Linked DNA regions of Arabidopsis thaliana. The protein of the gene in region 2 binds, or shares a complex with, the protein of the main gene of each other region. Each region holds a gene or a part of one and is shown on either strand. Other genes may lie near its edges.

Region 1 (7,552 bases), on a different chromosome or scaffold from region 2:
ATAAAACATTTGTCTAAAACACACTTAATTTAAAACTGATAAGAATATTATTTCTTAACATTCAATCGGACTATTTTTCCTTTGGAACATTTTTTAAAAATTCCATTTTGGGGTTTATTTTGTATATTCAGGATATATAAATTTTCTATAAGTAATTTTAGTTATACGGGTTATACCCAACTGGACTAATTTTGAATTTCTTTTAAATTCGATTTATGTTCATTATATATTTTCACCCAATAGGAGTTTTTTTTTTCTTTCTTTTCGGTGTTGTACTACTAGTCCACTGATTTAATTTTCTTATGAAATAGTGTGAAAGTTAGACTTACAAATTTGTTCTCAGCCCAATCATGATAATAGCTCTATAAAAGCCCATGTCCATGTCCACATAAATCCTAAAAAACATATAATGACTAGAGTAACTACATACATAGCTGATAGCTCTATTATGATTAAACCGGTTTGAACTCTGTTTACACATAACCTGCCATACCAACTGTTGAACCGGATCGGTTTGTTATGTTAGCCGATATTGAAGAGATAGATTGTAGTTGTACAATTACAAATTTACAATCCAAACAAATAAATAAAATCTAATCTTTTGAATTGAAGATATAGATAAAATACATTTACACACACTTTGCTTTAAATTAACAATAAATTTAACTAACATGTTTTCAAATTTTTTTTTTTGTATAAAGTAACATTAGTTTATAATAATTAAATACAAGTTTAATAAAAAAAAATTCTAATTTCATTTTTTTATCGGCTTTCTAATTTCATTTTTGTTTCCTTAAATACATTTATACACCGAATAAAATTATTTATTAGTTTCCTAAATTATTTATATATCTCTGAAGAAAAAAGAAAAGTAAAGTAAAGTAGCCGCCTCATCCTCCTCGTCTCTTCTCGTTAGCTCTCTCAATGAGGAGCCCGATTTAGGGTTTCCTCCATTGGTTATATCAATTCGATCATCTCCACAAAGCTCTCGAAGACTCTTTCGGTGATCTCATCTTCTTCTTCTTGTACGAATCTCTCACTCTCTCTTCATTTCGCGTTATAGGGGTTTCTCCAACATTTGCGTTTACGATTCTCACTTTTTCTGCTTCTATGAATACATTTTGATCTGGGTTTTTCGTTGATTGAAGTATTAGCTGATCCGATTTGACAAAGTTTGAAACTTTCGTTGCTTAGGTTAATCTCTTGACTAGACTTTTTATCTTGCTTCTGTTTCTCAATCCGATTAGGCGATGAACTCAGGTTTTGTGCGATTGCAATTTGTATATATGACTATTGAAGCTTATCATATAGATCTCTTGCTAATCTTGGTTTTTAAGAACTGTATTCCTCTTTCAGGCTTGTTACTAGCATTTACAAATTTTCAGTTTGATGTTGCTTATGAGAAGGTTACTTATTGCAGGTTTAGCCTCCTGGAGGTTACTTTGTTTGTTACTAGTTCCAAAACATGCCGAAAGAGAGGAAAGAACGGTCCGTATCTCTTGATAAGTATAAACGATCGCCACTGTGTTGTGAGGCAAGCCTTGCTTTGAAGCCGAGTGAGAAACAAGTTAAGGAATGGGAAGAGGCTCGTTGTCCTGTTTGTATGGAACATCCTCACAATGGGATTCTTCTCATTTGTTCTTCTTATGAAAATGGTTGTCGACCTTACATGTGCGACACTAGCCATCGGCATTCTAACTGTTTCGATCAGTTCCGCAAAGCTTCTAAAGAGAAACCTTCTTTGTCTTTACTTCGTGAGGAAGAGGAAAGTAATGAACCAACTGAGATGGAAGATGTGGATTCAGACTCAACTGCTGTAAATCTATTAGGAGAAGCTGCATCTGAGATAACAGTTGTGGATTTAAGTGATGGTGAGAGAGGAGAAGAAGAAGTAGAAGAAGAAGAAGAAGAAGTAGTAGTAGAAGAAGAAGAAGAAGGAATTGTAACAACAGAAGAAGATCAAGAAAAAAACAAACCACAAAAGCTTACTTGTCCGTTATGTCGTGGACATATAAAAGAATGGGTAGTTGTTAAAGCAGCTCGATGTTTCATGAACTCAAAACATAGAAGCTGTTCTTGTGAGACTTGTGATTTCAGTGGAAGCTATTCCGATCTGAGAAAGCACGCAAGGCTTCTACATCCAGGAGTTAGGCCATCAGAAGCAGATCCAGAGAGACAGAGAAGCTGGAGGAGGCTAGAAAGGCAGAGCGATTTAGGGGATTTACTTAGCACACTCCAATCTTCTTTTGGAGGAGATGAAATAAGTAACGATGATGGGTTTCTATTTGCTGATACTCGCTTGCTTACAGTGTACTTTCTCATCCGCGTGTTTAGACCAGAATCGAGTGGCTCAAGGAGTAGTAGCTGGTCTGGTACATCTAGAGCTAGGACACATACAAGTGGGAGAAGAAGATCTTCAAGACCTGCAAGTCTTTGGGGAGAGAGCTATGAAGGTAATACAGGAACATCACCTAGAGATGAGGAGAATAATCAATCTTCTGATGAACAAGTGTCTGGAACTCGGAGACGTCGTTCTAGAAGAAGAACTGTCATTGATGATGATGATGAAGAAGAAGAACCGTGATGCTCTGCAGTTTGGAAATTTGGTCTTTGGAGTTTATGATAAAATGGGGGAAACCTTGTAGTAATAACCCCACTTATGAAACCCTATTATGTAAAATTTCTTTGGAGATTGAAAAAAGTTTCTACTATTGGGAAACAAAATGTTCAATATTTCATTACCGTTTAAATATCTTTTTGATAATGACTCTTCAAACAACAAAATGTAAATCTCTTCACCATACAAAAAGACAAAGGAATTGTAATTAACATTTGTCATAGACAATTATCTTCTCTGCAGCTTTACAACACTAAAAAGAGCTTGAAACTGAAGTAATTTAAGCAGAGGCTGCTGGCTCTGAAGTTGCTGCTTCTGCTGCTGCAGCTCTCTTCTTGGCAAAGTATTCATCTGCTCGTGCTTGGTTCTTTGCAACAGATGGCTTAACCCATTTCTTTCTTCCCGGCAACACAGTGAGTGTACAACCTGAAGCTTCAAGCTTCTCTTTTGCTTGTGTTGAGAAGGCACGAGCTTTGAAGGTGAGCTTCATGCTTAGTTCTCCTGTACCCAGAATCTGAAATCCAAGACCAATCAAAACGTTTAAATAAAGAAAGAAAAGACGAAAGCACAATCGAAAGAAGTAGGATCAACAAGTTTGGAAAACTAACCTTAAGAGGGAGTTTCCTTTCTCTCCCTGAAGGATTAATCAAACCCTTTTGCTTCAATGTCTCCAATGACACTTCATCTCCCTCTTGAAACCCAGCTGTTTCTATGTCTTTGATATTAACCGGTAAGTATTTAGGTAATCCTGAACGCATACCTGTTTAAAGAACACAGTAACGCAACGATGCATCAGAAATATATCTCTATTGGTTTGAGCTAATTAGCAAAATCGAACCATGAAATATCTCTATTCACTAACTACAATCTTGATCCATAGTTGTCAATTCATGGCTCTCTTACCCAATATTAAATCTATGAAACAAATGTGCCCTAACTAAATAAAACTGAAAGCAGCATCACCAAATTTAAACAGAGCCTTTTGGATGAGACATTTCATCGAACATTTGGGCTACACAAAACTTGGATACCAAACAAAAACAAAACTTTACCTCCAGCGATTCCTCTAAGTTTGGGAAGACGACGATAAAGAGCAGTTTGACCACCTTCAAAGCCTCTCATAATCCCAGGACCCGATCTTGATTTCTGACCTCTCATACCAAAACCACAACTTGCTCCTTGTCCTGCAGAGATACCTCTACCTTTTCTCTTCTGCTTCTTCCTCGAACCTGGCTGTGGTCCAAGATTATCCAAACGGAATCTCTCCGGAGCTACAACTGCCGACGACGTAGCCGCCGTTTGGCTAACCACAACAAGGGGTCTCGCAAATTGCTGTTGGTTTCTCGTTTTAAGGGTTTGGTTGAGTTTCAGAGATAGAATCTGACTTGGGTTTGCCCCCAAAACACTTACATTTCCCTGTACACATTTCAAATTCCAATTTTACGGATTCATTCAAAATTGACATTTGTAGAAGAATGAGAGATTACCTTGAATGAAGTAGAAGATAAGTGGAGACGGTAACAATGGCGGGAGGTGAGAGGATTTGATGAGATTGAGAGTGGAGTAGCCATGGTCACAGGGAACAACAGATGAAACAAAGCTTCAAGGATAAGGTTGAGGAAGATAGATAGAGAGAGATAACTTTCTTGAGAAACTTAAGAGTTAAACGACATCGTCTTACATAATCACTTAATTGTTTATTGGGCCTTTCACAGCAAATTTAGGCCTTTTCGTTTTCAATAAAAGAGTCGTTACTCGTTCGTATCAATTCGTTTGTGTCCAAAGTGGGTTTTCAGATAAGCTCATGTCTGAATTAGTCGGGATGATCAAGACACCAGTGCCAATAAAAGAAACGATAAGAAATTATAGTATTTATACTAACTTGATATATATAAACACAAATATTTATACACATAACACAATTATAAGTTCAAACTACAACCCCAAATCAACACCTGAAACTACAACCCCAAATCATTACACAATCTCAATTAACCACATAGAAAATTATATATATTGGTGAATTTTGTAACTTCCTTAATCTTTAATCTTTGCGAAGTCTTTTCTTCACGACAAGAAGAGAACAATCTGTATTTTGTGTACACCTGCATTTAATTAAAAGATGTTTGTTATCTCAACTTTTCCATCAATACTAAGTTTTTTAACTGATATTTTGAAATTAAAAGATGTTTCTTACTTTTTGAGACTTTGTTGATCGCTCGTAACTATTAAATTGATATTTCGTTCTTGAATTATCTTGCGGATTAGATCTTTAGGGTCTCCATCATCAGTAAATGTCTCTGCCTTGATCTGTTTTCAACATGATTATGATGAGATCATGAGACTAAAATATTGCAACAAATGGTTGTCATGAAAAGAACTTCATTTTTTTCTTTTAAAACTTTGGTATTTAAAAATATATATATGATATTGTATTAATAACAAGTTAAATGATTCAGTCAATAGATTATTACCCCATGATTTAAACATATCTTCTTGGCTTTCTCTAATATACCCAAAGCAATTTTCATATTCTTTTCTTGAGCCAATCTTATGAGTTCTGAATCTGCAAAACACACATAAAAACTGATCAATTTTCAACAAAAGAAAGTACTAGGTGAAAATGGATAGAAAATTTGATATTTATTGAAAACTCCCAACAAATTAGTCGATAAAATGACTTACTAGGTGAAAATGGATAGAAAATTTGAGCAAAGCCGACTGATGAAGAAAGTACGGTAGGAGGAGTAAAGGAATTTTGTGGCTGTTTTGCAAAGATATAAACTTTGGAGCTCTCAATGGTATCTTTTTGGTTTTCAAGTGCCCAAATGAGTAAATCATAACTTGCGTTGCTCTCGTCAATAATCAGCATAACATTCTTCATCTTCTCTCTTTGTTTCTTCTTCTCCTTTCTTCTTCTAGCTTCTGCTAAAACCTCTTGTCAATGTGCAACTTTATAGTATATTTGGAAGTGGATTAACTTGTCAAAGGAAGTAATATAAAAAAAAATCTTAGGTGATTGGGTAATTGAAAGGCATGGGTTAACGACTTGATTCTGGCTTCTTCTCGTTTGCAAAATAAAATAAAATTATACACACAAGTAATACTATATTAAACCCGTGTGTAGTGGCAAAGTAGGTTTGGATTAGAACCAAAAGCGTAAAATCGCTATAACTTCAAGTTCAATCCCACAATATGCAATCATTTAAAGAAATTACATAACGATTTATAGTGATTTAATCTCCATGTTATATCACTTGATCATTTAGATTTCGGTTCAGATTCTGCTTAACTTGTGATGAGTTTGCGGAAAACGTTTTACTGAAATTTTCAAAAGACTAGTCATATGCTTATTCAAATTAGGATAGAGACAATGCTAAGTCTAACAAAAAAACATTTGTATATCAAAAAAGAAAACAATCGAATAATATGATCTCATTCTACAACATATTACCAATTCTCCATTGAAATATTCCATTAATAAAATGGTGTGAGTGGACCGGTGTTTGGTAACTGCCGGATACACGCCATTGATGACATAAAACATTATTCTCTTTGTCGGAATTTTTAATCATAATTAAATATCATTAGAGAGAGTTGGTAAAAGAAAAGACATAATTAGCTAAACGGGCTAAAATGAAAAGTTAATGGGCCAAACAGACATATATCCAGCCCATTATAATCTCTGCATCTCCTACCTCTGAATCCCAAAAACCCTAGCGATTTTTTTCTTCTCTCCCGAGACGCTCTGTGATAGCGAAAGCATCTGTTGTAATCTAAGGTACTCGATGATTCTCCTTTTCCATTTTAGTTCTCATTTGAAGTATATAGAACTGTAAAAATTTGTTAAAGTTATAATTTTGGGTTTTAACGGAATTTAAAGTCTCGAACTTTCGATTCTGAGTATGATTTTGATGCTCATAGTACTACTCTTGAAATTTTAGATGATGTTAATGGAGATATTTAGCTTAAAGATGCTTACTTTACTCATCTGTTGAGCATAGGATCGTCTTAATCTTTTTACTCATTACTTGTAAATTTCTTCAAGCAATTGAGACATGTAGAGATGAGTTATGTTTTTTTCTTTTTTGGTGTCATTGTGTTAAAGGTTCTGTAATGGAGAAATCTAGAGAAAGCGAGTTCTTGTTCTGTAATTTGTGTGGGACTATGCTTGTCTTGAAATCAACCAAGTATGCAGAATGTCCACATTGCAAAACAACACGGAATGCAAAAGGTTTTGATGAATCTTTCTTGATATCATCAAATCAAAACAAAGTTTTTGTTTCTTGGTTGGTTTAATCTTATTGCTGTGCTTTTATCGTTCAGATATCATCGACAAGGAAATAGCTTACACAGTTTCTGCTGAGGTATGCATCATACATTTTGTTTCGGTTTCATGGAGTAGCAAAAATCTCTCTGCTCTTGATTTGTGTTGTTAGTCAATTGTTATTAGGCTTATGAATACACACACACAGTAGAAAACCAGTTCTGTGCTATGTGATTACTTTCAGACCTGAAAAATGGATGACTGTTTTGTTATTCTTGCAAGAATATTTCATCATGATCTTTGCTTTTGGTAGGATATCAGAAGAGAACTAGGAATATCATTGTTTGGTGAAAAAACGCAGGCAGAAGCTGAGCTACCAAAGGTTTGTTTATACGAAACAGATTTTTATGTACGTGTTTTTTTCTGAATCCATGACTTGTAATTTTTGATGATACTTCTCTTTGCAGATCAAAAAGGCATGCGAGAAATGCCAGCATCCTGAGCTTGTATACACAACCAGACAGGTATAGTCCTCAAGCTTTTTGATTATGTGGTTTCAAGTTCTTGTCTTCTTGTTTCAATTTCAAAGTAAATGTTTTCATCGGATTTGCAGACGAGATCAGCTGATGAAGGACAGACAACATATTACACTTGCCCCAATTGTGCTC
Region 2 (7,206 bases):
TGAAAATGTGAATCTGAGGCATTGATCTTGGTACAGTCTTTAAATCTAAATCTTCCCTTGCTGGGTTTTGGTCTTGTAGAGGCTGCTCATGAATGCAAGAGTGTTCTTGATTCTGTTGAGAAGATATTTCAGCAAGGGATACCAGATGCTCAAGTGGATAACAAACTTCAAGAAACCGTTAGCCACGCCGTTGAACTACTTCCTGCGCTATGGAAAGAATCTGGTGATTATCAAGAAGCCATATCTGCTTATAGACGCGCGCTTTTAAGCCAATGGAATCTTGATAATGATTGTTGTGCAAGGATTCAAAAAGATTTTGCAGTCTTTCTTTTACATTCTGGAGTCGAAGCGAGTCCACCGAGTTTAGGTTCTCAGATAGAGGGATCGTACATACCTAGAAACAACATAGAAGAAGCCATTCTTCTTCTAATGATTCTTTTAAAGAAGTTTAACCTCGGGAAAGCGAAATGGGATCCGTCTGTGTTTGAGCACCTTACCTTTGCGTTATCTTTATGTAGTCAGACCGCGGTTCTCGCCAAGCAGCTTGAAGAAGTAATGCCTGGTGTGTTTAGCCGTATTGAGCGTTGGAACACTTTGGCTCTTTCTTATAGTGCAGCAGGTCAAAACAGTGCTGCAGTTAACCTTCTTAGAAAGTCTCTGCATAAACACGAACAACCCGATGATCTTGTGGCGCTTTTGTTAGCTGCTAAGCTTTGCAGTGAAGAGCCTTCTTTAGCTGCTGAAGGTACGGGTTATGCGCAGAGAGCGATAAACAATGCTCAAGGTATGGATGAGCATTTGAAAGGCGTTGGTTTGAGGATGTTAGGACTTTGTTTAGGGAAACAAGCGAAGGTTCCGACATCGGATTTTGAAAGATCTCGGCTGCAATCAGAATCATTGAAAGCATTAGATGGAGCTATAGCTTTTGAGCACAATAATCCTGATTTGATCTTTGAGTTAGGTGTTCAATACGCTGAGCAACGGAACTTAAAAGCTGCTTCCCGTTACGCCAAAGAGTTCATCGATGCAACGGGAGGGTCAGTGTTAAAAGGATGGAGATTTCTCGCGCTTGTTTTGTCAGCTCAACAACGGTTTTCAGAAGCAGAAGTTGTGACTGATGCTGCTTTAGATGAAACTGCAAAGTGGGATCAGGGACCTCTCTTGAGACTCAAAGCAAAGCTGAAAATCTCTCAGTCAAATCCAACAGAAGCCGTTGAGACTTATCGTTACCTTCTTGCATTGGTTCAAGCGCAAAGGAAATCTTTCGGACCTCTCAGAACTCTTTCTCAGGTTTCAAAATCTCTTTTGTTCTCTAATCTATTGAGATCATCAATCAAAACCTTTTTTTTTTTTTATTGAAGAACTTGTACAATAACACAGATGGAGGAAGACAAAGTGAATGAGTTTGAAGTGTGGCATGGCTTGGCTTATCTTTACTCAAGCCTTTCGCATTGGAACGACGTAGAAGTCTGTCTGAAAAAAGCCGGAGAGCTGAAACAATACTCTGCTTCAATGTTGCATACAGAAGGCAAGAACAAGAAGCCATTTAACTAATCTCTTAGAATCATCCATTACTTGATTTACTCAAATTTGGTTTGAATCTTTGGGAATGATCAGGTCGAATGTGGGAAGGACGAAAGGAGTTCAAACCCGCGCTAGCAGCTTTCTTGGACGGTTTATTACTAGACGGATCATCGGTTCCTTGCAAAGTAGCGGTTGGAGCGTTATTGTCCGAAAGAGGGAAAGATCATCAGCCAACTCTCCCCGTGGCTAGAAGTTTGCTCTCTGATGCATTGAGGATCGATCCAACAAACCGAAAAGCTTGGTATTACTTAGGAATGGTTCATAAATCTGATGGACGTATAGCTGATGCTACTGATTGCTTCCAAGCTGCTTCTATGCTTGAAGAGTCTGATCCTATTGAAAGCTTCTCAACCATTCTTTAAAAATCCATCATAAAGATTTATATTCATATGTTCATTTTTTGTCTGTCATCTCATGTACAATTTTAAACCTTCTTAATTTCTTCAAACTAAATATATATTACATTGTTCGTTAGTTCTTTATGTTTAGAACTTTAGATGCTGAATTTTGGATACGCTTTCGAGTTTTGTAATCGCAGTTGAATCACAATTCAAGAACATTAGCATAGAAATACTTCCGACTTATACAAAAACTCCAATTCTAAGAAAGAAACTGTGATTTAGCAATTCGATACAAATTTTCAAGGAATGGATAAACACAAGTCAACATTACAAAACAAAACAGAGTCTCTTCTCTACTAGTTCTTGGGAATGTTAACTCCGACGATTTTAGCGGGAGTAATACGAAGAAGATTCCCAGGCTTACCAGGCAAAGCACCTTTGATCATGACAACATTAAGCTCCTTATCAACTTTAACAATCTTAAGCTTCCTAATCTTTGTCCTCGTCCCTCCCATTCTTCCAGGCATCTTCTTCCCTTTATAAACTCTTCCCGGAGTAGTACCAGCACCAATCGAACCCAAAGCTCGATGACTCTTGGAACCATGAGTCATCTGACCTCTCTTGAAATGATGCCTTTTGATTCCTCCTTGAAACCCTTTACCAATTGTGGTTCCAGCTACATCAACGAGATCACCTTCTTTGAATATCTCATCGAACACAAGCTTCTGGTTCGGTTCGAATCCTTCGATGTTTGTTAATCTGAACTCTTGGAGATGTCTCATTGGGATTGTACCGGCTTTTTGGAGATGACCGGTTTCCGGTTTAGTTAGCTTTTTGTCGCGTACACGACGGTAACCGATTTGAACCGCGTCGTAACCGTCTGTGGCTAGGGTTTTGATTTGGGTTACGATGTTACCTTCGCGGAATCCGACGACTGTTACTGGAACTACTGTGCCGTCTTCTTCGAAGAAACTCATCATCCCGAGTTTTGACCCCATTACTCCGATTCCAGCTTCCATGGATGATGAAACCACGAATCTGGTTTTTGGTGATGATTTGATGAGAAGTGAAGAGGATTTCGCCGGGAGGAAAGTGGGAGTGAAGAGTGAAGAGGATAAGGTTGTTTTGTTGAGCAGAGATGGGAAAGAAACAACCGCCATAGCTATCGCCATTGTCGGAGATTCACAGAGGAGAAGAAACTCTGAGAGAGGATAAAGCTCTGTGCCACACTCTTATCTTCTTCTCCAGTTATGAAATTTATTATTATACCGCTGAAGATACTCATATTTACAAAACACGGTGGTTTACCTTTTGCAACATCGGTCCTTTAAATCTGATTTTATTCATTTTGTATTTTTTCTTCTTATTGTATTCAATTTAACCTCTTTCAAGATTGGTGTTTATATTAGTTAGCACAAGTGAGAAAAGAAAATAGTACTTGAATTCTTAAAGATGATTATCATATATAAATAATATCACAAGGATATAATGTTCCAATTTATTGAATTAAAAACACTGAGAAAATAAGACTGGGAATGTTTTAAACGATCCGACACGAGAATAATTTTAGTTTCATATTAAGACAATCATCACTTGAGGTTCCTTCTAGTAAACGATAACTGATGGAGTTTAGAGACGAGATATAAGAAGAGGTACAGAGGCAGGTCCTTCCTCGCCCATCACAGGCTGGAACAGATCCAACTCACCATACCGCTCCAGAACTCGCATCCTACAATCTTCAGCTGCCATCAATCCAGTTGAATAAGCGCCGTGAACCGAGCCCGGGAAGCTCGAGCTCGTCGCTTCACCGGCAAAGAATAAGTTATCCACTGGAACCCTAAGCCTCTCGTAGAGATCATGAGGTTTGCCCACGATATCATAGCTATAAGATCCCATTGAATTCACATCAGATCCCCACCTCGACACGAGATACTGTACCGGAGGCAATGCATCGGGAAGAATTCTCTGGAGTTGCAAGACGGCGAAATTTGCAGCTGCTTCATCAGACATTTTCTCAATGTCTTTGGCAAGCTGACCAGCCGGCATGTAAACCAGAACCGGATGACCCGTGGCCTTGTGCAGGTTCAAAAAATAACTGCAACCGTAGGAGGTTTCAGCTACCACTCCTAGAAACTCTACTTTCGGCCAAAAGACTTTCTCAAAATGTAGTATGATCTTGTTCTCAATACCTACTCCTAGGTCGTTGATTGCTTCTTGTTTCCACTCAGGTAGCTTAGGTTCGAACTTTATGGTTCCCGATTTTAAAACTCCAAGAGGGACAGCAATGACTGCAGCATCCGCAACAAAAGTTTGCCCGTTTTCTGTCGTTACCTTCACTCCATTGTACCGCCTGACAATCTTAGTAACCCTGAGAGAAGGAGAAACACGAGGTTATGACTGTGAAACACTAAACGAATGCCATAACTCTTGAAAAACGCAAAAGCTTACCTGTGGCCTACTCGGATATCAAGACCTTTCGCCAGAGTATTGATGACAGGACGATACCCTCTAACCATAAGACCGTGTCCACCAGGCAACAATTCCTCCTGCACATTTCTCGGAGTGTTAAACCAAAAATTCAAGAAGCAGTCTATACAAAAAAAACTCTTAACTACGAGAGAAAGAATGTAACTAACCTGGTCCCAACACTTTGCAGAGATGGTTTCAGCATCTGCGGCAAACCATCCTTCCATGCGGCATACATACCATTGAAGTACGTTGTGTGCAAGCCCCTCTAACCTGGATGTGAAAATTCAAAATTCAACCATGAAACCAAGCTTGCAAAAGTGCATTGCCTAAAGAAATTGAGAAAATGAGACATTATGTATACAAACCTCAGCTCGGGTTTCCTAGAAAAGACAATTGAGAAAGCCTGAGAAATTGAAATGTCAGCATCCTGCTCATCCCTGACTTTATTGATCTGTGTTTGCAATAGACGAATCTAGTTAGCATGAGCATCAATCAAAGACTTGCAACATCAAGAAATACGAGAATAGGAATAAAGAAGAAATCTAAATGAATGTGAAGGACATACCTCTTCCAAAATACGCTCAAACGTTACGCCAATCTGAGTTACCAATTCTTGAGGAACTTGGTTGCCATCCATATCAAACAGAGCATAGCTACAGAAACAAAAGAATTGCACTGTGAGTTTTAAGGTGTCAAACAAGAATAAAAAGATGGAGGTAACAAAATCGAAATATTCAAGCAAACCTCTCGAGATCATGATCATACAGGACGGAATTGTCACCGCTAGTACGATACAAGGGCAGTCCAAGTCTTCCAATAACTGGTGCGAGAGGATTCTCCTTGCATACTCCATGCAGCCTGTGACATAACGATGTTGCTGTGTTAGCCTAAAGTTAACCAAAAACCAAAACCAAAACATCATCTAATGACAGGATGAAAGAGCCGTGAGATTACCATGATGCACCAAGATCAACAGGAAAACCAAATGAGTAATCAGTGTGAACTCGTCCACCAATTCTGTCACGGGACTCCAGTACCATAACCTAAACACCAAGAACCACACCGTGAGAAAGAGATATCAAAATCAGCTATCAGGATATATTGTATAAAACATGAAACATCACAAACCTGAAAGGAAGCATCCTGAAGAGTGCGAGCAGCTGAAATCCCACCGAAACCACCTCCGATCACAATCACGGAGGGCGACCTTGTCTTCATCCTCTCACCAGCTGAAAAGCAATTAGCTATATGAAAACAAAGCACACGAATTAACGACCGTCCAAAGTCCAATAAAGTATCAATTCTTCTAACAAAGAAACAATAGTGATTATCAGAATTAAACAACCCCACAAAAACAAAACTTGTGGCAATCAGCAGATACATCCAAACAAGTAAACGCCACGAAGGAATCAAATCACCGACAGAGAATTCAGCACGAGGGATAAAATTGAGGACCCATTAAAAAAAAAATCAAATTTTGTTTGATAAACCAAATTACCCAGATTATAATCTAGAGTAAGAACCCTAGATCCTTCCTATACATCAACGATAACAATCCGTAAGCGATTTCACAAAAAAGTAACAGACTTTTCGATGGAGGTTGAAGAAAACAGTACCTCTACGCATTTGACGATCAGAGTTTTTCCTGGACTCCATGATTTTTTTTTCAATTGATCAAACGATTACTCTCGAGATTATTGGAATTACGATTACTATTATTATTATTATTATTACTATTAAGCTGGGGAGAGAAATGAAGAATAAAGATGAGAAGACAAGTCGTGAAGTGGCTCGAAATCGAAGATGAAAAAATCAGGCTTCCAAACAAATTCATGCGATTTTCTTCAGGATTTTTAAACCCCCTCTCTGTTTTTGGTTTTTGTTCACCCTGTTTACTCAGCCGGACAGTATCAACGCAGATCTACGACGATCGGCGATATCTGATTCGTAATTCAAGCGAGCAATGGGGGCCAAAGGATCAAAATTCCCAGAAAAGCCAGAAACGAGGAAGAAGAGCTAGAGAGAGAGAGAGAAAGATGAAAACAGAGAGACTTCTAGAGAGAGAAAACAAAAAAAGGTCGGATTTTTTAGGCTTTGGGTCGGTAAAGTAGGTTAGGTTGTAATTTATAATAACGCATATGCTCCCTAATTATCAATATAATTATTAATTTTCTTATTGGATATAGATCTTTTATTGTAGTTTTTTTAGTAATTTTTATTTATTAAATACCTTAAGATTAATTATTTAATTATTTTAATATTAAAAGAGTTAAATTCAGTCAAAGATTTAAGATATACAATTAACAATTTCAAGATATGAACAAATTATTGGTAAATAATTTAGAACTAAAATTAGATAAGTAGTTCATTTCTATATTATTTGCTAATTATATAGCTTCTAGTATATGTTAATATTACTTTTTCAAAATTTAAATATTTTCTTTTATCAATAACAAAAATTGTGAATTTAGTTCTCTGTTATCACGTGTTCGTTTCGGTAAGCTTGATAAGTTACGTAACTTATCAAGTGGTCCAGTAGGAGCACGTGTCGTGCATTTATACGTTTTCCATCAAATTAAAATGTCAACACGTCAGCTTTTATGTCTGTATCTGGTAAATAATAAATATTTTGTTTCTTAAGACCTGACGATGTAAATTCTTTTAAAAAAGGTTTCTAGACGATTCTAATGATTTTAATAGGTATGATATTGATAGCTATGATGAGTTTCGTAAGAATTGAAGACGAACTTTTACCATAAAATTCCAACGTTTACTGGATTTTTATCCTTTTTTTAAGAAATTTTTAGTTTAA
Region 3 (7,577 bases), on a different chromosome or scaffold from region 2:
CGATCCTGTACTAAATCAGAATTCAGAAAGTGCCTTTGATCAAATTTGTTCTGCTACTATCATATGAAAAATGTATGAGTCCTGCAACAAGTCCTAAGACAGACAATAATGAAGATTATTAGAACAAAATTTAGAAGCAGCAACACCTGAACAATGTATAACATTGTATCTATCGAACCAGTGGTAATCATTAATGGCTCTACGCTTGGTGGTCACAACTAAAATTAGCCAATTGGACTGTGTCACATAGCACCTATTGATATAGGCAAGCCAGAATTGATGAGATTGATATATTCCACATGCAAGTAAAGACAATTGTATTTACAAGATTAAGGTGTTTGAAGGCACTTTTTAACTTAATAATCAAACAATCTGTATTGACTTCACTCCAATGGTAGGAACTAGGAAAGAATGATGCTACTGAAAAACATGTATTGAATTGTTGTACCTTTGCATTATCTAACCTGAGATTTCTTAAAACCAATCCATAAAGCCGAACAAGGACATCTCCATAGAAGATCCAAGAAGCTGAAAAGGCACAAGGAGGTAAGAACCAACCAAAATAATCTTCAGATTCAATCCAAATGAGAATGATGCAATCATGCAAGTAGTGCTTATATCAACACATTGGTCTGACTTTGATATAAGAAGTGAACACAAGCAAAAAAAGGCCTATTACCGTTCTTACTGAAGGCTTTCTAAAGGACTTGGACAATCCACCTTAAACATATTGGTCTAAGCCAAGCAAACTGCATTTTTATAATGATAGCACTAGTCAGTCGAAATGCTCATAGAGAATAACTATCTATATGTTTTATCAAGCTTAAGAGATTGTACATATGTATATGCATCACCATCTAGAAAAAGGGGACAGTTAGTGTAAGCTAGAAAACAAAGTTAAAAGAAAAGGACCATTTAAGGTGACAAGATACAAAAAGTCTAAAAGTTCTGCTTTCCTTAATCAAGAGGAGAATTTTAAAAGCTTGAAATCATGTTAGAATCACAATTGCTTCATGAAATGAATCAAAGCCTGAAACTAGTGGATAGTAAATGAACAAAAAAGATTGGGCAGAAGCATCAACAAACCTCTGGAAGTTAAGAGAGTCGGTCTTGTTCATCTTTACCTTCACAGGCATCAAGAAGAAGACAAAAAGAAAATCCAAAATACCTGCATAAATAACATTTGTTGCTTTTAAGGAAATAGTAGTTGAAGTAAAACAGGCTAAAGAGTATGGACTTTTCACGAAAGCAGAAGACCAAGACAAACATGGAGGAAGCTTTTTGCATGAAAAGCAAGTCACATGTTGTGATCCAGAAGTACCAAAGATCTTTGCATGAACACTATACGTAAGACACTTACATAATAAAATAATCGTGTCAAAAGCATCATAGAAAGCTGTGCAAAGCACATGACTGGAGTTGGTAAGACAGGTCTTCAGAAAAATAGTTACAAATAAAACATACAAAGCTATTCATATGCAAATCTCATAAATCACCTTTAGATATGCAATTTTTGTCTCAAGTCTCTTGTACTTAACATAACACCGCATAGCTCACAAATCTACGCTGAAAAGTTGACGACTTTTGGTCAGTTTAAAATGCAGGATAAGTGTAAACTGATGTATGTGAACAGCACAATGCAGCTGTCAAACTCAACTTCAGATAAACTTTGCACTAAAAAAAAAACACAGTTTTGACCATTAGTCATTTAAAATAGTTGTGGGCAGATAGATCTTTTGACTTAATTGTAATATAAGGTATTAGGTGAATCATCGTGGTCCGATCATTGCTATATCAACAGTTTTGTTATCCAACTACAATGGTAATGAGAAATCAACATGTGAAAATCTACTACTGCTAGTTAACAAGAGCATCGATCTCAAATCAAAAACATTAAATTAACAACCATCTCAGTATCTCACAGGTTTGTTGGCTTCCAGAAATGACTACATACCTGTCAAGAACTCATATATAGCAGCCTCGATAGCAAACTACTAGTAAACGAAACATGACTTCTTATTGAACTATGTTTATATCAGTCGTATTCAAACTTTTAAGAAAAGAAAAAACAAAGAGAAGAAACTACTAATTTGAGATTATTTTATCACTAGTCCCCACTTCTGAAAGAAGATTTCAACACCACTGAGTCAGAAAAATTATTGGCCAGATCTTCAATATACTAATAAGAAAAGGACAAAAATAGTAAAACAAAAACCAAACCCATTGTTGGTTGACTAACAAAAAAAACTAACAATGAAGTCTCAATGAGATTTACCAAGATGAGATTTTTCTACTACATTCGATTGCATAAACGGATTTTATTTTGAAAGTGAATCGCTGAAATCTAGGGTTTCATGCCCAAACAAGAAACATCATCGGAAACATAATCGTATTAGTTGAATCCTTAAAATCTGTAAGAAATATCACTTTACCTCATAGACTCGCCGGAAAAAAAATCCAAACCCAGCCGGAATCTACCACCGAATACCTCATCTACGCACACAAAGACAGAAACTTTAACGCACCATTCTATTTCTAAGCCCACCATTGATTCCTCAATAAATTCCTAATTTTCCCGCCAATGTTTTGGATTTTTCCTTTTATTTATTTATCTTTATTCTTATTTGATGTTTTTCGAACTTCGAATGATTACTAGTTTCTTTGTCAGATTGGATGATAATTCTGATGAAACATGAAGGAACGATTTCAATCTTTAAGGGATTCATGTAAACTACTTGATAAGGAAAGTGTTTACACCAAAAGAAAAACAAATACAAGATGGTTCAGCAACAAATAACAGAGATTAACAACATCTCGAGGAAACAACAAGGAAGAGACCATAAATCAATAGCGGGTTTTTTCAAGCAGATTTAGCAGCTTCAGCTGCTTCTTCTGCAGCTTCTTCTTCTTGAAGTTTCTTCAGAGACGGAGGTGGTCTTGGTACTATGCTTTTCTTCCATTGTCTGTCAAGTTTCCTCGACAACCTTTTCTTTATCCCTTCTTTGATCTCCCTCTCTCTTTTAACCGTCAACATCCGAGCAACCTAAATCACCCACAACCAAAAGATCACATCTTCAGTACCAGAAAAGAGACGGACGTAAGCCAAAAAAACCAAGAAATCTCTACTTGAATTTAGTGTCATCTCCAGCTAAGTTGGGTGGATTAGTCACTTAGAGCTCAAGATTCATGTCTGATTGAAATCCCAGCAATCAGTAAAACCAAAGCAAGTAAATTCTCATCTAAAGCTAGTTTGGTGCATTGGCACACTTAAAAGACTAAACAAACGATATCGCAAAGCTCAACATTCATGTCTAACTGAAACCGTAGTATCCTAAGAACATATTCGAAGCTTGTGTGCAAGAATCTATAAAAGGGGATGGATTGAACTCAATATTAAATCTCTAATTCCATTCCACCACCTACCAAAAACAGTATTAGATATCACAAAACAGTAACTTACAATGTTGCCATTGTTAGAGTTTAGAATCAACTATAATGTGTAGAACAAACAACACAAAACATTGCTTATAGAGTTCGCTAACATCTTCTACAACTTCATATTAAATAATCCTATTTTCCATGGTGATGATTTCAATGTTTCCATCAATAAACCACATATCCCAATTTTGTTAAACCCTTTCAAAGACTGCCAAAATCGACCAGATAACACAAAGTAGATTTCACAATTTGGAATAATTCTGCATTAAAGAGTAAGAAAAAAGCTTACTTGTTTCTTCATACGACGAAAGTCGCTAGATTTGAACTCATTCCTTGCCGATTTCTGGAGACGAAGCATAAAGAGCTCACCTTTAAGGTCAACAACCTCCTCTTGTAACTGCTCCGTCGTCTTCGATCTTATCTCTTTCAATTCCGCCTCTCTTTTCGACATCATCACCACCGACGGTTTAGGAGACGACGACGATATCGTCGCCGCCGCGGGGACGCGAGCAGAAACCTGGTGCTGGATTCTGACACCATGGAATGAAGACGAAGTTGAAGTCGCCGAAGCAGTTCCTCTACGAAAAATCGCCGCCGTCCCCGGCGTAGCGATTGAGAGACTAAGCATTGTAGCTATGGCGGAGGAAGAAGAAGAAGAGCAGAGTTCTCACTCTCGAGCGATTTTGAGGATAATGAAGAGAAGAAACTCTATGAGATAAGGCTTTTCTTATATCTTACTATTTGCCCCTTTATTTACCTCTAATTACGAAACTGGTCCAAACGTATCAAAAAAAATCAAATAGGTGTCACACAAAACGTAAAATTAAGTAAAGCCCCTATAGTTTTCAAATTGCAGATAGCTCGACATTATTACAGGGGATTTGGAACCAAGTTTATATAATTCTGAAATTGTTTACAAATCAAACAAACATTCGAAAAACTTGCCTCTTTCAAAAGCTAAAAAGTACAAATTTTTGCACCCCCACCTTTTTCTGATATTTACAACTTATCAATACATGATGTTTTTCAAATTTTCTAATTCCGCCGCAGAGTAAAAATAAATATCAGCAGCAACCCCTCTATTTATTCAGAGTAGTCCTCTGTTTTCAGATGCACTCATTCTTCATTTTTTGAGGTCTTTCCATTTTCTTCATTTGGTTGTTACAAAATAACTCAAACCTACGTTGGTTCACGATGTCGAGTTGCCCAACTTGAGCTCAAGGCTCTAAGCCGTTGAAAATACTCACCAAGAGCTAATAATCCTCGAGCCGCTTGTCGCGTTGTCAATATCCGATACATTTGTTGCAATGTTTCATGTCTCAAGTGATCAGCCTAAGAATGAACAAACAAAATCAAGAAACTGATACTATAGTATTTTCAAATGAGTTTGAATATATATATTTTACCTGATTTACGAAACTGACCAAAGCTTCTAATCTATCCATAGCAGAATTCACCTGAGGAATGTAACTTCCTTCACCGAGTTGTCCCGCTGCAACGCAGTCCGCAAGGGTGTGTTGCAGCTTCTCCATACCTTGAGTCAACGCGTCTTCTGCTTGCTGACACGATTGTTTTAGATTGCATACATCTAGAAGTTGTTGATCCGTCAAGACATCAAAATGTGGCAAAAGAACCTACAAAAAAAAACATTTGAAACATTGTAATCTTGCTTGTTTCCTTCTATTCATTAAACATTACGCTAGATTGTTATTTGTTTTATACCTTGAGAAGATCGGAGGGTCGAAATCCGCCAATCCATAAGAAGAATCGTTCTGCTGAAGTTCTCCACATCCCTGACATGACGAAGAAGACATCGGCTTTGGCAGCAGACGATTTCATCCGGAAAAGCTCAAAGTAATGTTTCATGGCGTTTTCGACTAGCGAACGAAGCTCGATATCGTTAATGTGTCCGTGTAAAACTGTTCTTAGTTCACATATCTGTCTGTTCTGTTCTTCAACCCAATGTCCATATTCCATTTCAAATGCAGCAATCCCTGCAAATCAAATAAGCTTCCACCAATCAAAATCTTGAATTCTATATTTTTTCCAAAAGACTCATTGTTCTTGATTCAAAACCTGGATTCATGGTTTCCGAAAAACCGAGAGAATTAGTATCTATTCCGTTTCCTACATAGAATCCCTGAAAACATTCATATTCAATCAGAAATTGCATTATATTTTGGAACTCGAAAGAAAGCGAATATATATTTAGATTTCATTTCATTAACCTGTTGTCTAGCACGATCGAGTTCTTGCTCTAATTGAATTAGCTTCAACCTGCTTGTTTCCAGTTGCTGAACATAAGCCTGCAAAAAAAAAAAACAATCAAATCTCTCAACTCATTAGGCAAACAGAAACAGTTTACCAAGGGGAAGAAAATGAAGTCATACCTTCTTGCGCAAGCGACTTTTCCTAGCAGCCTCGCGGTTTTGAGCAAGCCGTCTTTGTATCTGTAACGATATAACGATTTAGTCTATATGATGCGTAGAAATTTATGATTAAGAAACTGATAGAGAAGTATTTGAATAGCTAACCTTATCGGGATGTCTAGACGTTGAAGCTTCTTGATCGAACATGTGAGGAGTTCCTGCTGTTCCATGGGAAGTATCCTCTGACTATAAAAAAAAAAAAAAGATTGTCAAGAAATGAAAGCTAGTTTAAATTTCTGAAAACAGACCAAACAAATTTATCATCAGGAGGTTGAAGAGCAATGAAGTAAAAAAGTACCACGTTGTTGTCTAGTTTCTGATTATTCGGTATTATTATGTGGTTTGGTGTGTTCATAGTCCCATTGCTAATATTGCTTTTGAAACTCTCCCCCCACATACCGAATTGATGGACAGGTTCGTATATACCAACTCTTCTCGGTGGCACAAAATGTGTCGATGTCGAATTCATGTTTTCCTCAACTGAAAACAAAGAACAAATTGTTTAAACAATGTGACAAAGCATTCAAAATCAAGCAGATCAAGACATTCCAAAGAACAAAAGATGAGCATTAGTTTTCAACCAAAAGTTAGATCACACAAAGTCAAACAAGCATAACACGTAAAGCAAATAGTGAACTTTTGATGTTTCTTCGCCAAATTCTTCGAAGAAAACAGGACAAAATCATCTTTAAATTCCAGAGACTTTATACAAAGAAAGAAACCAGAGGGGACACGGAGATTCCCTAAGACCTTGGAGAGCACCAAAAGATCACAACTGAAACATATATTGTAATGACAGGCTAAAAGAACTTAAGGCTAAAAGAACTTAAAGGATTTAACTTCAAATCACCCATTTCATCAACACAAACTCCTCACCATCCGCCTTCAAATCTAAAACCTTAAACCTACACCGGAAAAAAGAGAAGAAGCCATTTCCCCAATAGTGTTTGGAAGGTGTCAAATAGATAAGATGATAAAAATTAATGTTAAGCAGACGAAAAGCTCCATAAGTCAAGTTTCCACTTATTAGGATGTCACTTTATTTTCAGCACCTAATTGTGTGGACCAACTTAACATAGTTTAGCAGTTAAAACGACTATACAAAAAATAAGAAATTCCCATTCATTGCTTTGTTAAATTTTTGTACGCAAATGGTAACGAAAGGTGAAATCAAGATAGTAAGAGATATCAACAATAAAAGCAAAAGCCAATCATGAAGTCAATAGATAGGTAGATTGAAACATCTTCTTATGCAAGAAATATTCGAATCAGTTCCTTCCAGCTTAAATTCCAAGCAAACCAGAAAATCATATTGAAGTAATCAATCGAGTAAATACAACAAAAAAAAGGGGAAACAAAATTAACCAAAACAATCAATAAGAGAAAAGTTTTAGGCTTTTAAGATATTAACAAGATTAGATTAGAACAGAGCAAAGTCAATCAAACCTTGTGATGTTATCTGAAGCCGAACCTTGTGATGCTATCTGAAGTCAAGGCAGCAACTAGAAAAAGGCAAACTTTTGTCGTCGTGAAAACCATGTAAAAGGAGAAAGAAAGATTTCAGCGACAAGATCGGACGTAAAGGGTTAAAGCCAAGAAGTCCGGAGTTGGAATCCGACCATAAACAGAAGGGATGTTAAAAGCTCTTCCTTCTGTCTCAGAAACTCAGGTTTCATCATCTTCAAGTAGACGAAGGAAGAAGAATCACGA
Region 4 (8,361 bases), on a different chromosome or scaffold from region 2:
TATGTTTATTAAAAACAGAGAATTACGGCTGGTGTCCCTCCCCCCTGACCAAATTACATTTATGTTTACTATAGTATAAAAGGAAAAAAAAAAATCATTAAATACGTCTACATATACGTAATACGTGTCCCTCCCATCAATATCGATCAAAGTTTCTCTCTAAAATTGTCTCAACGATAACTCTCCGAAGTTACTGTGATTCTCCGACGAAGAAGCGCAAGAGATGGTCTTTCTTTCTTAGCATCCAAGGAAACAGTGACCTCCTTCTCCGGCGAAGAAGAGTCGGAAGAATATAAGCCAAGAATCGCAGAAGTCATCTTTCTTGATAACCAAGGAACATAGATCTCTATCTCCGTGAAAGAAGAATCGAGCCAAGCACCACGAAAAGACCACTCAAGATCCTTTCTCTTGCCATAAAATAATACGAAAATGCCTCTCTTCGTCCTCTCTAAATCCTCAGCAAAGAAGAGTCAGACGTTTATGAGCCAAGAGCAGCAGGGGACGTCTCCGTTGAACACAGACGAAGCCTTAAAGAGTCATCATAGCTTCTCGCAGAACCCAAATTACATCGAAAGTAATAACATCGCAGCTAGCAAATCAAAGATATGCTTCACATATAATTCATAACATCACTTCTTCTTTGTTTGCAGGTAATCTGTCTAGAAGATACCAGACTAACTTTTCGCTTGGCTCACAAAGAATCTCTGGGCAGTTTTTGATGATCCCTAATCCTGGATTTGTCGACACAAGTTCGATGACAAATACTCACGATACCAGTCTAGCAAATTTTCAGACTGTGCCTACAACTACCAATCCAAAGATTATCTTGAAAGAGGAAAAAGAAAATGAGGAGGAGCAACAGTACTGGACCATCAAGAAGGAACTGACCAAGAGCGATGCTTGCCAACGGCTTACTCTGTCAAAAAGCTCTGTTGAGGAGCACATTCTCAAGCATCTCCTTCCAGAAGATTCCCAAAAGATAGACAAAGGCAAGCCCGGAATCACGGTTAAGGTATACGACAACGATACTGACACTGAGCACGAGCTATGTCTAGCATTCCAGTGTAGCTATGTTCTAAAGAATGGTTGGGTGAAAACATTTGTCAAAAGGAGAGGGTTGGAGGAAGGAGACATGATTGGTCTCTTCTGGGAATGCTCTACTTCTAAGCTTCATTTTAGTGTGCTTTTTCGTGTAAATGCAAAAGCTCCTGCAGCAGAAGAAAAAGAAGCTTATTAATACAGTAATCAATCTCCATTGTATTAAGAATATCTGCATTTTGTGATCTCATTCAGAAACGCGTATGTGTAGAGGAAGTTTTTTTCATGTAATCAAACATTGATTGTTGTTAATGACTTGAAATGCATAATAAAAACTTCAAAGAGAGACTGATTGTAAAACTCAAGTTGAATTCACCAATTAGTCCCTAACAAGCTATATATTCTTGATTCGTGATAGATTTGATCAGATAGAAAGAGGAATTTGGAACTTACCAAAGGCGAATTCTTCATCAAAGTGGAACTGGCGGCGGAAGAAGCTGAACTTGGAAGGGAAGCTTCGAGAAAAGGTGAATTGGAGGCATGACTGACCGGAGAGAATTCTCGGGAGAAGAAGATACGGCGAGGATGATGCGCGCGTAGGCGCGTGAAGGATAGACCGTTGTATAAAAAAATTCCAACACTTAACCTTTTGCAGTTAGAAAAATAAGACCGTTGTAATCATGATCAATTTCCTTTTTTATTATAAGTCCAAATTTGAAAAAAGGAAAATAATAATCTGATGTTTCCTTTTTTTTGTTGCGTGAACCTCTCTCTTATAAATAGTATTCATCTTTTCTTCTTTCCTTAAGAAATCATTACTCCTTCTTCTAAACCCTAAAAAAATATTTTCTTTCTCTGCGACTGTTTTACAAATACGATCGCTGATATCTCGTGACCGTGAAATTGATGATCCGGATACATCGCTGAACGGTACCAACGGCGTTGCCGCGTTGGTCCAACGCCATGTCGAGAGATGTCTCTCGTGTATGATCAATTTTTGACGATCACGGGCTAATTATACAGGAAGATTACTTTGAGTTCTAGAAACGAGTCTGACGTGACGCAAAATCTGGATGCATCTATTTCGGGCAAAGAGAATCGCGAGTGAACGTGACGACGAGATCTGGGGTTTCGGTGGTTCAGAGTTTCAGACCTGAAAAGCGAGATCTTCTTCATCATCAAAAATTGCAGTTTCCGCCCAAGTCAAAGACGAAGAGATGGGCTTCAGATTACAACGAATGGGCTTTAGTAAACAACAATCCATGAGTCATGCCGAGAGAGTCATAATTAGTCCACCATGAGTCAGGTTCGTTGATTCTTAATTTCCTTTTCTTTTTTTTTTTTTTTAATAAAGATTTTGATTTATTTTATGTTTGTTATTTTAAAAGTTTTTATTTTTTTGGATGCTAAATTTATATAATGATACGAAAACTAACCGGATTTTAGATCCAGCATTAGTCGTTAGCGATTCCAAATATTCAACTTGTTTTCATATTATTATGTAGATTTAGCATTCAAGTTTTTCATTCGGATTTTTAAAGTACTTTTTAAAATTTAGATTTTGTTTATTCGGATTTTAAAAATCTTTTTTCATGTGTTTATTTTTTAAAATTATATTATTTAATGGATACTAAATTTATATAATGATATGAAATCTAACCGGATTTTGGATCCAGCAATAGTCGTTAGCGATTCCAAACATTCAACTTGTTTTTCCTATTATTATGTAGATTAAACATTCAAGGTTTTACTTCGCATTTTTTAAAATAGTTTTAATATTATTTTTTTGGATGCTAAATTTACATAATGATATGAATACTAACCGGATTTTGGATCCAACATTAGTCGTTAGCGATTCCAAACATTCAACTTGTTTTCATATTATTATGTAGATTTAACATTCAAGATTTTTATTTGGATTTTTAAAAATAGTTTTTAAAATTTTGATTTTGTTTATTGTCGGATTTTAAAAATCTTTTGTGTTTGTTTGTTTGTTTTTAAATTTATTTGGATGCAAAATTTACATAATGATATGAATACTAACCGGATTTTGGATCTAGCATTAGTCGTTAGCGATTCCAAACATTCAAATTGTATTTCCTATTATTATGTATATTTAACATTCAAATTTTGGATCCAGCATTAAAAATTTCAGTTTTAAGTAATGACTCGATTAAGGCATGAATATTAGATTTTCCTTGCATCTGTGATCTCATTGGGAAGGTTTGTTACCAATTGAAGAGGAAGTTTTTGTTAATGGTGACTACTGTTGCTTATGGCATTTGTATTCATTACATGTCATCTTTTTCATGTTGAAGAAGATATTCAGTAGCAAAAAAAAATAACGAGAAATATTTCAAATTAGAAAGTTTTGTAGCATAACAGAGTTGATAGAAGCGAAAACAAGAATCTGTAAAGCCTCCTCTGGTTTTGGGATGAAGAAACTACAGAAACCTGAGAAGAAAAAACTCTCTGCGCTTGGCGATAATGGAACAGTGGTGGAGCTTCTATTTTTGCAGCTGTATTCTCTTGTCCCTGATAGGCAGATCAAGCGGTTTCTGGGCCTCGTGAGGATGGTCAGGGCCTTTGTACACCTTCAGGTGATTGAACAGAGCTCTCCCAAGCTGCCACAAAATGGTCAGACCAAAGTTAAGAGGGAGTTGGAAAACTAGTAATCAATCAATACCAATATCGCAACAAGTAGTTTCCAAGTTCAATCCATAAGTTTGAAGAAACACGGATTTGCTAAGTGTTAAGACTTAAAGGAGACTAATAAAGAGCTGTGGATTATGTATCTAACCCGTCCCTTTGGAAGCATTCCACGAACAGCATGCTCAACGATTCTTTCAGGAATTCTCTGCTGCAATTGATCAAATGTCTCTACTGTCATACCACCAGGTCGTCCTGAATGCCTCCTGTACAGCTTTTGGTTACGCTTCTTTCCAGATACAGCAACTTTCTCAGCATTCACCTTTAACCAAACAATTGAAAACAGTATTAGAGGTACCAAGTTACAAGCATTGCCCAAACATCTACATAGAGGCTCTACATCTTGCTGCTAATGTGAATCTTACTAAAACCAAATCCCAAGGCTCCTCCTTCAGGAAGAAATTAACTAAAGCAGCACATCAAATTTCTTATTCTCTACAGATAGCTCAAAGAAACTCATACCACAATCACAAAAGCTCCCATGTCGACACTAGGAGTGTAAGAGGCAAGATTCTTCCCACGGATGTGATTAGCAATTGTCGATGCCAATCTACCAAGAATTTTGTCAGTTGCATCAACCACAAACCAGGGCTTGTCCGTGTTCACATGGTCTGAAGCTTTTGGATACCATGTCGTGTTCCAGATGTCCTGTAAACCATAGAATACACTCAATAAAGGTTTCAAGCCAAAGACTTTTAACTTCTCTCCAACCAAACATTAATAATTTCATAAAACGTCCAAGTTAACAAATTCAGAAGAATAAACATCAATTTTCGAAGCCAATTGATGCAGACAACACAGCTAATGAGTCAAAGGCAAAATCCACTACTTAATAAATCGCAATTGGGAGAAGAAAAAAACAAGCCATACTTCAAATTCAAAGCAAGAGCTAAAGTGCGACACTTTATAAATGCGTAGATGCTAAACACAGAGGGAGATAGAAAAATTATCGTTACAGGGCCATTAGCTTCTTCTTCGTCGAACATCCATCGTTGATTCGCCGGAACAAGAGAAGTCGTCGTCGTCGGCTCAGCTTCACACTTCACTTGCAATCCTCTTTTCGAATTCGCATAAATGCCGACTCGTACCGACGGCTTCGAGATAGCCGTTAAAGAGAACCCTAAAAACGGAGACTTTCTCTCACTTCCGGAGGATTTCACGGAAGAAGAAGAGAGTATCACCGTCGAAGACGAGCAAAGAACCGCCATTTTTGTTTTTCTCTCTTCTGCAAATTTCTTCTGCTCTTTCCGATTTCTCGGATAAGATTGGGTTCTCAGTAAATAGTAGTAGTGGCAACACCGTAAATAATCTGATGAATACGACCGAAAAATAAACACAACACGGGTTAAGGATCCGGGTTTTTTTCGGAGCTCCGGATTCAACCCGAAATACTGTTTTTTTTTTCTCAATAGGAGAGAAAGGTCTTCTTCGGAAGCAAGCTAAGTCATGGCAACGATTTCGTCAACTCTACTCTTAAATTCTTCTAGATCAGCTTTACCACTAAGATTCCCAAAATTCTCGGGATTTTCTTCTTCCTCTCCATTCGCTAGATCTTACAGATTTGGACGACGTAATCTGGAACCACTTTCCAACGGAATGCTTTCGTCGGGAAGTAGAGCCGACGGTGCTACGGCGGCGGCTGCATCGATGGAAGGAGTGATGACGGAGGCGATGAAACTGATTCAATCGGCGTCACCAACTTGGAAATCAGCTGTGGCTAACAATTTATTGATTTTTGTTCTCGGTTCACCGCTTCTTGTTACCGGATTGTCCGCTTCTGGGATCGCCGCCGCGTTTTTGCTTGGTACTTTAACTTGGAGAGCTTATGGCTCTGCTGGTTTCCTCTTAGTCGCTGCTTACTTCGTCATAGTAAGTGCATTTGTGATCAACCTGAATGTAATTCGGTAACTGACTCTTAGAACGTAGAAATTCGCTGCTTTGATTTTGATTTCGAGCTGATGAATGAAGAATGTCCTTAGATTTTAGATGTGTTATTGTTTAATTTAGGAATTGTGGACGTGTTAGAGATCCTAAATCACGTTTACAGATTAAGGAGCTACTTTTTCTGATCATGCTCAACATTGAGATACTTAGTCTTTTCTCTGCAATGCTTTAAGTTTTAGATTTCAATATCGTGTTTCACCCCAGAGCTGGAAATAGTAACAGTAAATTTGCAATTGATTCTGGCGCTGAAGTTGGTTTAGATGATTTACAATATCACAGGGAACAGCGGCAACGAAGGTTAAAATGACGCAAAAGGAAGCACAAGGTGTGGCCGAAAAGAGAAAGGGTAGAAGAGGACCACGCAGTGTGATTGGTTCAAGTGCTGCTGGTTGTGTCTGTGCTTTTCTTTCAATATATCAAGTGGGAGGAGCAGCTTTTTCCCAGCTTTTCCGGCTTGGTTTTGTTTCCAGTTTCTGCACTAAAGTATCTGACACTGTCTCGAGCGAGATAGGCAAAGCTTATGGAAAAACAACGTGAGTATGCTACTGTTATCCAGCTATAGCCTCTTCTGTTATGGTCTGTGTCTGTTTTCTGTCTGATGTATGGCATGGACTTGTGGTGTCATGACATGAATCCAATCGACAACTGAAATGATCTTACTAACCATTGCCAATTCGCAGGTATTTAGCTACGACATTTAAGATTGTACCAAGAGGAACAGAGGGAGCTATGAGTCTTGAAGGAACATTGGCTGGACTTTTAGCATCATTTTTTCTTGCATCTGTTGGCTGCTTCCTGGGTCAGGTAATAGTGTTATTTGCTACCAAAATTTCCCTTCACAGCTTCTTTATGCTACTAAAGACTGTTATCATTACACGATTTTTAAACTTCTTTTCCTTTTGATATCTTGAACACAGATAACTCCTCCAGAAGCAGCTGTATGTGTACTAGCTTCCCAGATTGCCAATCTTGGAGAGAGCATAATAGGTGCTTCTTTTCAAGACAAAGAAGGATTCAAATGGGTATGCTCACTTCAATGAACTCTCTTCTTTTTGTTTTATTGATCTCACTCTGTCTACTTGTTGTCAATGCAAGAAGATGATAATCAAATGAATATACCGTCACTTCTTGCAGAAAGACTGATAGATAACTGGCTTGAGTGGAAAACGATTTCCATTCAATACAGAATTTTGAAGTTTTCGTCTTATGAATCCATTCCTTGCAATTAGTTACCAACTAAACAAGAATGCAATGATCTCGACTGTATTCTGTCTCATGTTAGTCACTATTTTGCTATGTGTAGCTAAACAATGATGTAGTCAACGTGATCAACATAAGCTTGGGAAGCATTGTGGCGATTTTGATGCAACAGTTTATACTCCAGAACTGGGTCAAGTAAAACCTGCCACGAAGGTCATGTATTCTCAGTGAGGTTAGATTCTTTTTTTATATTGTTAAACACAGCCTTACGTATTCAGTGGTGTTATAAATTATACTCTGTTGTGTACAACTAGTAGTCCAACATCAATGAGGGGAAAAAACTTCTGGGACCATTGTCTAGCAATTATTGGATGATATTTATGTGAATTAAGTTTGCCTTTGCAATTGTCCCGTAGATAGAGAAACTTATAAAATTTCTTCTGCTTAGGGATCCATTCACGTGATTTCTTCTATTTCCTTCACATGAAGTCCAAATTCTATTGCGACATCATAAATTGAAGAACATGTAAAAAAAGTTATGTAGCAAATAGAGAAAGTAGTGATGAAAATGTAAGAAAAAAGTTTGAAGAAAAGGCAACAACAAAGTACCAAGAATTGGTTGAGAAAGAAGTCGTCGAAGAGTCGTGATTTTCTCGAATACATTCTTCTTTTTTGTCATTATTATGTCTTGTTCCTGTCATCTTTAGCAATATTCTCGACGTTGCATAAGATAGTGTTTCTGGTGGCCAATTTTAATTTAGAAGCCTCTAGAGAAAAATGCATCCATCGGCCTAGCTGTTAAACAAGACAGCGAGACTTAACAGGCTTGTTTACTTTTAGACTTATGAAACATGAAGAAAAATTATACAATGCGTTGCTTCTACGAACCTGTGGTCCGCAATAAGATACGACAATGGCCCATGGGCCGCAACATCTGTCTAACACACAGCTGACAAGTGTCAAAATTCACACGCGCTCCTCAAACGCGTGTATTTTACGACTGATTTTTACACCGCCGCAGCGCAAATCTCGCTTTTTCTTTCTTAAAGTCAAATGTCCGCCACGGCGCGCCTGAAGAAGACTCTTGCTTGCCCTTTTTCTTACTTTTTTTCAATGTTTTTTCACTTTTTTGGTTAAATTCTCTAACATGGGTTTACTACTGTCTCGATAATAGTAGTAAGTTTGTAACTTTCTTATTTCTGGAACTGATCTAGTTCTAAAATATGCTTAATTCTTTATTAAGTTCTAAAAGAACTACTTTAAAAATTAATAACCTATTATTAATTACGACAACATCTAACTAAGCCATTAAATACAATATTCATCGTTTTGCGTGAGTCCTTCATACATGTGACGAATGTCCCTTCCCCACAAAGGCACAAACCTAACCTAATAAACAATACCAAAAATGGAATAATTTGATTTTTTTTTGAAATACTATATGCTAGCGTAGAATCAAACAAAATATGT

The links.
Region 1: AT2G43030 (region 2) and RPL15 share a complex: the UniProt entries of both Arabidopsis thaliana proteins name them as parts of the 50S ribosomal subunit.
Region 3: AT2G43030 (region 2) and AT5G65220 share a complex: the UniProt entries of both Arabidopsis thaliana proteins name them as parts of the 50S ribosomal subunit.
Region 4: AT2G43030 (region 2) and emb1473 share a complex: the UniProt entries of both Arabidopsis thaliana proteins name them as parts of the 50S ribosomal subunit.

The regions. Positions count from the first base shown.
Region 1 is NC_003074.8:9,488,371-9,495,922, forward strand, and holds RPL15 (ribosomal protein L15), read right to left. Parts: upstream 4,286-7,552; 5' UTR 4,189-4,285; coding exon 4,105-4,188; intron 4,034-4,104; coding exon 3,670-4,033; intron 3,378-3,669; coding exon 3,226-3,377; intron 3,132-3,225; coding exon 2,898-3,131; 3' UTR 2,685-2,897; downstream 1-2,684. Other genes in the region: AT3G25910 (MAP kinase kinase kinase, putative (DUF1644)), read left to right, coding at 1,466-2,584; AT3G25930 (Adenine nucleotide alpha hydrolases-like superfamily protein), read right to left, coding at 4,662-4,722, 4,815-4,927, 5,092-5,183, 5,303-5,501; AT3G25940 (TFIIB zinc-binding protein), read left to right, coding at 6,734-6,851, 6,944-6,984, 7,198-7,266, 7,352-7,408, 7,498-7,552.
Region 2 is NC_003071.7:17,890,789-17,897,994, reverse strand, and holds AT2G43030 (Ribosomal protein L3 family protein), read right to left. Parts: upstream 3,200-7,206; 5' UTR 3,098-3,199; coding exon 2,282-3,097; 3' UTR 2,113-2,281; downstream 1-2,112. Other genes in the region: NPG1 (tetratricopeptide repeat (TPR)-containing protein), read left to right, coding at 80-1,290, 1,381-1,528, 1,618-1,946; PAO2 (polyamine oxidase 2), read right to left, coding at 3,555-4,293, 4,374-4,471, 4,562-4,664, 4,760-4,845, 4,960-5,047, 5,139-5,252, 5,349-5,437, 5,523-5,638 and 1 more. UniProt on the Arabidopsis thaliana protein: One of the primary rRNA binding proteins, it binds directly near the 3'-end of the 23S rRNA, where it nucleates assembly of the 50S subunit.
Region 3 is NC_003076.8:26,057,790-26,065,366, reverse strand, and holds AT5G65220 (Ribosomal L29 family protein), read right to left. Parts: upstream 4,203-7,577; 5' UTR 4,067-4,202; coding exon 3,728-4,066; intron 3,044-3,727; coding exon 2,861-3,043; 3' UTR 2,685-2,860; downstream 1-2,684. Other genes in the region: AT5G65225 (uncharacterized protein), read right to left, coding at 1-5, 147-253, 465-567, 1,125-1,168, 2,433-2,437; TGA1 (bZIP transcription factor family protein), read right to left, coding at 4,618-4,770, 4,845-5,072, 5,161-5,432, 5,515-5,578, 5,667-5,744, 5,829-5,888, 5,973-6,053, 6,166-6,336.
Region 4 is NC_003070.9:29,572,591-29,580,951, reverse strand, and holds emb1473 (Ribosomal protein L13 family protein), read right to left. Parts: upstream 5,147-8,361; 5' UTR 4,956-5,146; coding exon 4,704-4,955; intron 4,396-4,703; coding exon 4,210-4,395; intron 4,010-4,209; coding exon 3,839-4,009; intron 3,663-3,838; coding exon 3,546-3,662; 3' UTR 3,072-3,545; downstream 1-3,071. Other genes in the region: AT1G78635 (B3 domain protein), read left to right, coding at 430-574, 651-1,237; AT1G78620 (integral membrane protein (Protein of unknown function DUF92, transmembrane)), read left to right, coding at 5,194-5,643, 5,971-6,224, 6,372-6,495, 6,609-6,713, 6,995-7,090.